2 linked regions of the Xenopus tropicalis genome follow. The protein of the gene in region 1 interacts with the protein of each later gene in a pairwise test. Links are inferred from orthologs where the notes say so. Each region holds a gene or a part of one and is shown on either strand. Other genes may lie near its edges. The genes, in order: amot and ptpa.

Region 1 (3,826 bases):
TGCTTTGAAATTTGGCAGGTGGGCATACCTCTTTCCAACTGGATCAGGACATGCACCTGTCGGATAGGATTGGGGGCTGGCGGGTTGCGTGTGGCTTGGATAGCACTGTGTATAAATGTGGTGCAAACTTAAGGCCCCCATACACGGGCTGATAGAAGCTGCCGATATCGGTCCCTTGGACTGATTCGGCAGCTAATCGGCCCGTGTATGGGCAGAAACGAGCGGCCTGGCCGACCGATATCTGGCCAGATATCGATCGGCCAGGTTAGAAAATCCAGTCGGATCGGGGACCGCATCGGCTTGTTGATGCGGTCCCCGAACCGACTGCCCCATGGCCGCAAATGTAATCCGATCGTTTGGCCCCAGGGCCAAACGATCAGATTATTTTTTTTTAAAGCCACTTGCTACCCGATATCGCCCACCCGTAGGTGGGGATATCGGGTGAAGATCTGCTCGCTTGGCGACATCACCAAGCGAGCGGATCTTATAGTGTATGGGGACCCTTACATTTGTGAGAAGAGCAGAGAGGGATTATTTGGACTTGTAAGGTTTTAAAAGTATATGTAACCAGAAAAACCCTGATAATTGTTCATTGGGATTTTAGTGCTTTCGTGTCTGATGAGTGCGGGCTGGATTTGAAGAGTTTTAAGATGACTACACATTGGCAGATATTGGGTATAGATTTGGCTGATCAATCGATAGTCCGCTGGCGTTTCTATGTAACCAGAATTTTCACTATCCCATTTAGTATCTGGCTGTGCCTCATTTGGATACTGATTGGGCTGAGGTGTCTCAGTCAAGGACACATCAGTCTGTTTCACTGGCCACCAGGGTGGCCTGGGGTCCTTTGAAAACTCTTAAGGGCTCTGACACACGGGGAGATTAGTCGCCCGCGACAAAACTCCCTGTTCGCGGGCGACTAATCTCCCCGAGTTGTCATGACCCGCCATCCCACCGGCAAACATGTAAGTCGCCAGCGGGATGGCACACGCGGCGGCGCAATTTCTCGAAATCTATTACATAGAAATGTAATACTTCCATTAGATAAATCCAAAGGGAATACAATACAAATGATGGTATAGCTGCCATTTAAGTCTTTTGATTTATTCTTTAGTTTTCTGTTGGTCAAGTGATAATAGAATACGAGCATTGTAGAATTCTCTCTTTCTGTATTCTCTTACAGCGACAGGGGAACTCTCAGTCCAGCAATGTCTCTGAATACAGTGCTGCCACTCTCATGGAGCTGCTGAGAGAGAAGGAGGAGCGCGTGCTGGCACTTGAAGCAGATATGACCAAGTGGGAGCAGAAGTACCTGGAGGAGAGTGTTATGAGACAGTTTGCACTGGATGCTGCAGCCACTGTGGCTGCTCAGAGGTAGATTTTGAATATATTTAACAGTATTTATATAATACACACAATCTGAGTTGCTTGGTAGCTGACTACAAGCATTTGCCAATGAATATTCATATTTTGACAACTTCACAAAATAAGGGGTTTAACAGACTTTAGTTGTGTACTTTGTTTGAACTTAACCTGATGTTAACATTCCCTGCAAAAACATAAGTCACGAGATGATGTTACACTACAACTACCAGTTTCCCCTGAAAAACATCTGAAAGATTTGCAAGTAACCCTTTCCTGACCTAGTGTGACTCTGACTCCTGGGTGCTTAGTTGCAGCAAAAGGCCTACCATACATATAGAACAATAGAGATATTGGTCTATATAAGGCACAGTGCTGAGAATGCTGCAATAAAAATCACTATGGGAAAGTCATAAGCTACTTTGTCTGCTCTCCGGGTTATTTTTTCAAAATACTTGGAAGTCTTGCAACCAGCACAGGGTTGTTGCCTGTCGAGGAGCACGTATGCATTTGACACAAAGACTAATCAATGTGTGGCTACCATACATATAGCTAGCATTCCTCCCTTTTAATGTAACTTCTGCAATTAATATATATAAAGATGGTTAAATAGACTCGGGCTCTGTTTTGTGTTTCTCTTATTGTTCTAACTGGCAAAATTTCAGACTGTGGAGTTTGTATAGCTATTTAGGGCCAGATGTATCAAGAATTGGTACATTTTCTCAACATTTTCTGGTTGCCAGTTCTATAAATCTCCCTTTTCTTCATAAAAATATCATTAAAGTATCAGGTGCAGGATCATAATAATGTCTGCAGGTGCTAAGTTAGCTGTCTAGACAAGGCAGTGGGATAATGTATGTGGCAGTGGCAAGGACTCTAATAAGGTGGGTGTGCTGTGTGTGTGCATACCATACTTATCTTATCTCTGCCCTGTGAGCTTTTCTCATGCTGGGCATTGGAATTTGCTAGATATTCCAGGGACAGCACTGTTTGAAGAGCAGAAAGTTGTAAAACTGCACAGATAGTGTCTGAGCCTGTATACTATATGAAGTTATTTAACTGCTTGCATGCCGTTGATGTTCTTATCAGTAACAGCTTTAAAACTATAGGATGATGTAATTTCTTGGCACGCGTTACCATCATTAAGCAATGTTTTTAGTGTCAGGCAGCTGCAGAATAAGGGCTCTAGCACACGGGGAGATTAGTCGCCAGCGACAAAACTCCCTGTTCGCGGGCGACTAATCTCCCCGAGTTGCCATCACCTGCCATCCCACCTGCGACAATGTAAGTCGCGGGCGACTAATCTCCCCGTGTGCCAGAGCCCTAAAGGTCGCGGGCGACTAATCTCCCCGTGTGCCAGAGCCCTAAAGGTGGCCATACACAATTACGATTTTTCCCACAACCGATGGTTATAGGAAAGGTGGTTCGTCCTAACATTAAGAACATTAAGCTGGTATGCAAGTAAAAACAAAGCAAAGGCGTTCAATCTAAATTTTCAGTCCTGCCCGACCAATGAGGCTTTTACCGATATTGATCGCCTTGTCTCCCACGATTCACGCACCTTCTTGTCTTGTCATGTAAATTGTATTTTTATGACCTTAGGCAAATAGCACAAGTTATTTTGATTGCCATGATCCTCTCAAAGCAATTTTTCCCTATATACAACCTCTTCTCATTAACTTGAATTGAAAGCAGTGTTGCACAAATTGCACAGTAGAGAAATCTTAGTGGCAAATTGCAAATCCCAATGCACTTTAATTGCAATGACTCAGGACAATATCAGTATGCAATGTAGTTGCTATATGATGTCATCTGTCTTTTTCAGTGCATGATATGGGGAGTATCAAGTTCCATTGCCCCTAAGATAAGGAATTGGCAAAGCCCCTAACAAAGACATTTTTTTGTTTTAGAGACACTACATCAATCAGCCATTCTCCGAGTGGGAGTTTTGATACTTCTCTTGAGGCGCGGATCCAAAAGGAAGAAGAAGAGATTCTTTTGGCCAACAGACGCTGTGTAGATATGGAGGGCAGGTGAGCAGTTTGAGATTCCAAGCAAGCAGGTAGCCTAGAATAACATGGACCCTGCAGTTGGCAGTGTCTATCTTATTGGCCAGTGATGATTCATGTAATATTTACTCCATTCAAATTAGACTTTGGTCATTATAAACAATTGCTTTGGGCTGGCAGAGCAAATCTGCAAGTCATATTACAAAATGGGTAGTTGGTGTAAAGAGTCCTTACCTGCTGGGAAATTATTTGTTTTCATAAGTTTCTTTTATTTTAGTATTTAGTAAACTCATTAAGAATATTCAATATAAGTTAACGTTTGTTTCTCTTTTGGTTTGTCTTGCAGGATAAAGACACTACACGCCCAGATTATTGAAAAAGATGCAATGATTAAAGTTCTCCAGCAGCGGTCCCGCAAGGACCCGAGCAAAACAGACCAATCCTCTACCATGCGG
Region 2 (3,826 bases), about 30 Mb from region 1:
GTTCAAATACTTATGTGCAGCAGTGCAATACAAATACATTCTTTAAAAACCATACAATGTAATTTCCTGAATTTTTTTTTTTAAATACTGTCTCTCACAGTGGGAATGCACCTACAATGTGAATTTCAGACCCCTCCATGATTTCTAAGTGGGAGGACTTGCAAAATCGCAGGGTGTTCAAATACTTATGTTCCTCACTGTATGTATGTATGTATATATATATATATATATATATATATATATATATATATATCTATATATATCTATATCTATATATATCTATATATATATATATATATCTATATCAAACTCAACAGTAGAAAGCACTCGCAGCTGTGAGTGCTTTCTACTGTTGAGTTTGATGCATTACTTTTGTCAGCACCCAGCCGTTGCCCCGATATTGGTGAGTGCCGATATATATATAATATTATATAATATATGGTACTCCCTCTAGTGAAATAATTGGGACAAGACACAAGCAAGTCCTAAAATGCCATTCATCTTCATGAAACTTATCAATATACATAACAAAACCCAAAGAAAGACTTTTTAATTGCTTTCTATTTTCTGGCGTAAGGAGGCCAGTACTGCATAGGTATCTGACTGGCTGGGCTTTGGGCTTAACAGACAGTAACTGCACAAGTGGCCATACATATTATGGCCAGTAATTAGACTGCAAGCTCTTTGACTTGGGGATGTGTGACAAGATGTTAGGGTGCTGTCCCTACATACAGTCTGTAGTTAGTACTGGGATGCTGCGTGTGTCATTTTATTGACTATACGTGTATTTTTGGTGGAAGGACAATCTGTACTGATCGTTGGCCACCCAGTCAGGCCTGGTAATCATTATAACGGTAGTGGTGTCCTGGTCTGAAAGCAATTACAGCCAAATTCCTTCCTTGTAGAGCAGGAACCAAAATACTTCAGCCGTTAGGGAACTATAAACTCCCAGCATCCCTCTGTCAGCTGAGTTTACTGGAGGATCGTGGGCGCCCAAGATGCTGCCTATCTCTAATATAGTGCTTAGCAGTGCTGGACCTTATTATTTTCTTCCTACCATAGTATCTCTCTGTACAGGCTATGTGCAAACTTAGGGGGCTGTTCCTGCTGAATTGTGCTTAGTACAGGGGAATCCCTATGCTGCCATAGTTTTATGGTATCTCTCTGTACAGGCTATGAGCAAACTTAGGGGGCTGTTCCTGCTGAATTGTGCTTAGTACAAGGGGAAACCCTATGCTGCCATAGTTTTATGGTATCTCTCTGTACAGGCTGTGAGCAAAGGGGGCTGTTCCTGCTGAATTGTGCTTATAGGGGCAGAGGAACCGGTACAACATAAATCGGGCCGTTATTTTCCCGTCTCTAGAGAAAGATCAAGTTTGGCATCATAAAGAATTTGGCTTTGCCTGTCCTTGCAGAACTTGGGGATATAGTGGAAGGGGGGGGGTGTTGATACGGTGTGATTTATCCGAAATGAAACGCTTCATACAATAATCTGTCATCTTTATTCGCAGCGGCTCTTCCAGGAGGGAACAGGTGACCGCAGAGCAGGGGCTGGAAATGGATTTTTTTGTGGTGGCTCGGCGAGTTCAGGAGAAGGGCAGCAGATAGGTTGGCGTGTTGTTAGTAACAGTGCACTTTTTCTTTTTTTATACATTTTATTTGGGACTTGCGCATCGTCGGGGCAGAATATTATTCAGCTGGCGGAGCGGCTCTTAGCCGCCGTTTTCCTGCCGCTGACCCTGGCGACGCAGGACATGCACCCTATTGCTTTTCCTTGCAATATTAATTTAGCCGGACAATAGAGAGCCGCCTGCACTTGCACACTGCCTTTCAGAAGGGACCCAGACACTTGTGTCTCTTTAATTATGTATTAGGCTGCCTGTGCTGGCAGCTGGAGCCTTCTCCATGCAAACAACTCTGCTGCTTTTAATCCCTTTAAAAAGCAATGGATGCGTGACTGTCCCTTCCCCCCCCCACCCTCCTCCCCCTCCTCCCCAGCTCTGAAGCCTAGAGGTACAGCAGCCCCTTTGCTATTACTCAGCCTGTAGCCTTTGGAAAGGAACTAGAGAGAGAGAAAAAAACCTGGTTGCCCGTAATGAGCTGCCTATGGCTGGGAGGCTGGTGGCCACGTAAATCATCGGCACTATTTAACAAAGGCCTCTCCGCCTGGGTCTTAATTACAGCGAGAATCCTGCCTGCCCGCAGCTGGATCCTTTAGCATGGCCTGGAGAGAGTCTGTGTATATGAAATAAATGCCAACCGCCTGTCCTCTGAATTGTGTGCCTCAGCCCTTTCTGCTTCTCGAGGATAAATAGGTTTACATGTAGCGTTTATCTTCCACTTGTGCTCCCTGAAACACACCATAAAATATCAAGGTGTAGTTTGTATGTGTTCAGAACAGTCCTCCTATTATACACAGGACTGGGAGCTGCCATATTGTTTCCCTTAGACTGTACAGTATGGGCGTTACAGCTTATTGTGTTCCCAGAACATTCCTGTATATTTGTATTTATACATATGGGAGGGAGGTGCCATATTGTTGCTCCAGGACAGTACAGTATGAGGGTATATCTTATTGTGTGCCCAGAACATTTCTTCTTTGTATATTTGTATTTATACATATGCGAGGGAGGTGCTATATTGTTGCTCCAGGACAGTACAGTAGGAGTCATTTTGTTTGACTGCAGGGTACTCCCTTGCAATAATGCCAGATTTAGGACTTTTGGGGAGGCACTTCAAATTTTAGTCATGCTGTCTAGTGCCTGTTTTTTGTGTACAGTCCAGAGATCCCCTGGCATCCTTGATGACCAGTTCAACTCTTAGGTTGTCTTGGCATGATTCATGCTGTTGGCTCTGTACCTGAAAAATAGATCTGTCCATCGTGAGCACTGTGCTATAGGGAGGCTATTGTCACAACTGACTGCCATACAAAAGGTAACCGAAAGTGAAATCATCTGTACAGGATATGCTGGCAAGGAGTAGGGCCACATCTTGCACCCCAGGCGACTTGCTGCCTTTGAGGCCAGAAAGTCCAAGTAACAGCCTATGGGAAAGGGGCCAGCCTGCTCTTAAAGAATGGGGTGCCCTTTTTGTTAGAAAGCATAACCATATGTGCTCCATCTGCCATGGTGCTTGCTAACCTAACTGTTTATATCCCTTGGGTACAGGTGATCCACAAACTGATGTCTCTGCTCGATACCTTGAATCGCTGGATCGATGAGATGCCCCCGGTAGACCAACCTTCCCGATTCGGCAACAAGGCCTTTCGCACCTGGTACGCCAAGCTCGATAAGGTGGGCACAACCGGAAAGCTGCACACCCTGGCAATGGCTGTGTTTCATCAGTGGCATGGCACAGGTCCTACTGGCCTTGGTTTAAAGGAGAACTGTACCCCGTTTGTAACTAATTTTTCATAAATCAAATCCAGCTAAGATAACATGAAATGCCATGGAAACAGTGCCCCTAGTGGTCAGAATAACAGATTGAAGACAAATATCACCATCACCGGTGAAGTTGCCCATAGCAACCAATCGGCAATTAGATTTGAATTCAAGTTAGAGAACAAATGCAAAGATCTTATTTGTTGATATGGGCAACTTCACCAGTGATGTTTGTCTCCAATGTTATAAATACGCCCATAGAATTTGCTTGTGTAGCTTGCCTTGGTAGATTCACCATAGACAACAATCACAGCCCCTAGTGGTTCTGCATTGGTAGTGTGGTTTTCCTTGTTTGTCTGTGGAACAGAAGATGAGGAAGCGACCACAGTGTTTTTTGTGCCAGTTAAATATTCCCTGTAATATCTAAGGCAGTCATCCCCAACCAG

Evidence for each region.
Region 2: the proteins of amot (region 1) and ptpa interact in binary tests that used the Homo sapiens proteins (3 or more experiments, as listed by UniProt). The two-hybrid records come from large-scale screens. The link is inferred for Xenopus tropicalis from reciprocal best matches to the Homo sapiens genes AMOT and PTPA.

Annotation. Positions count from the first base shown.
Region 1 is NC_030684.2:52,159,774-52,163,599, reverse strand, and holds part of amot (angiomotin), read left to right. Parts: intron 1-1,183; coding exon 1,184-1,374; intron 1,375-3,272; coding exon 3,273-3,395; intron 3,396-3,717; coding exon 3,718-3,826.
Region 2 is NC_030684.2:21,726,606-21,730,431, forward strand, and holds part of ptpa (serine/threonine-protein phosphatase 2A activator), read left to right. Parts: intron 1-1,511; coding exon 1,512-1,619; intron 1,620-3,167; coding exon 3,168-3,293; intron 3,294-3,826. UniProt on the Homo sapiens protein: PPIases accelerate the folding of proteins. It catalyzes the cis-trans isomerization of proline imidic peptide bonds in oligopeptides. Acts as a regulatory subunit for serine/threonine-protein phosphatase 2A (PP2A).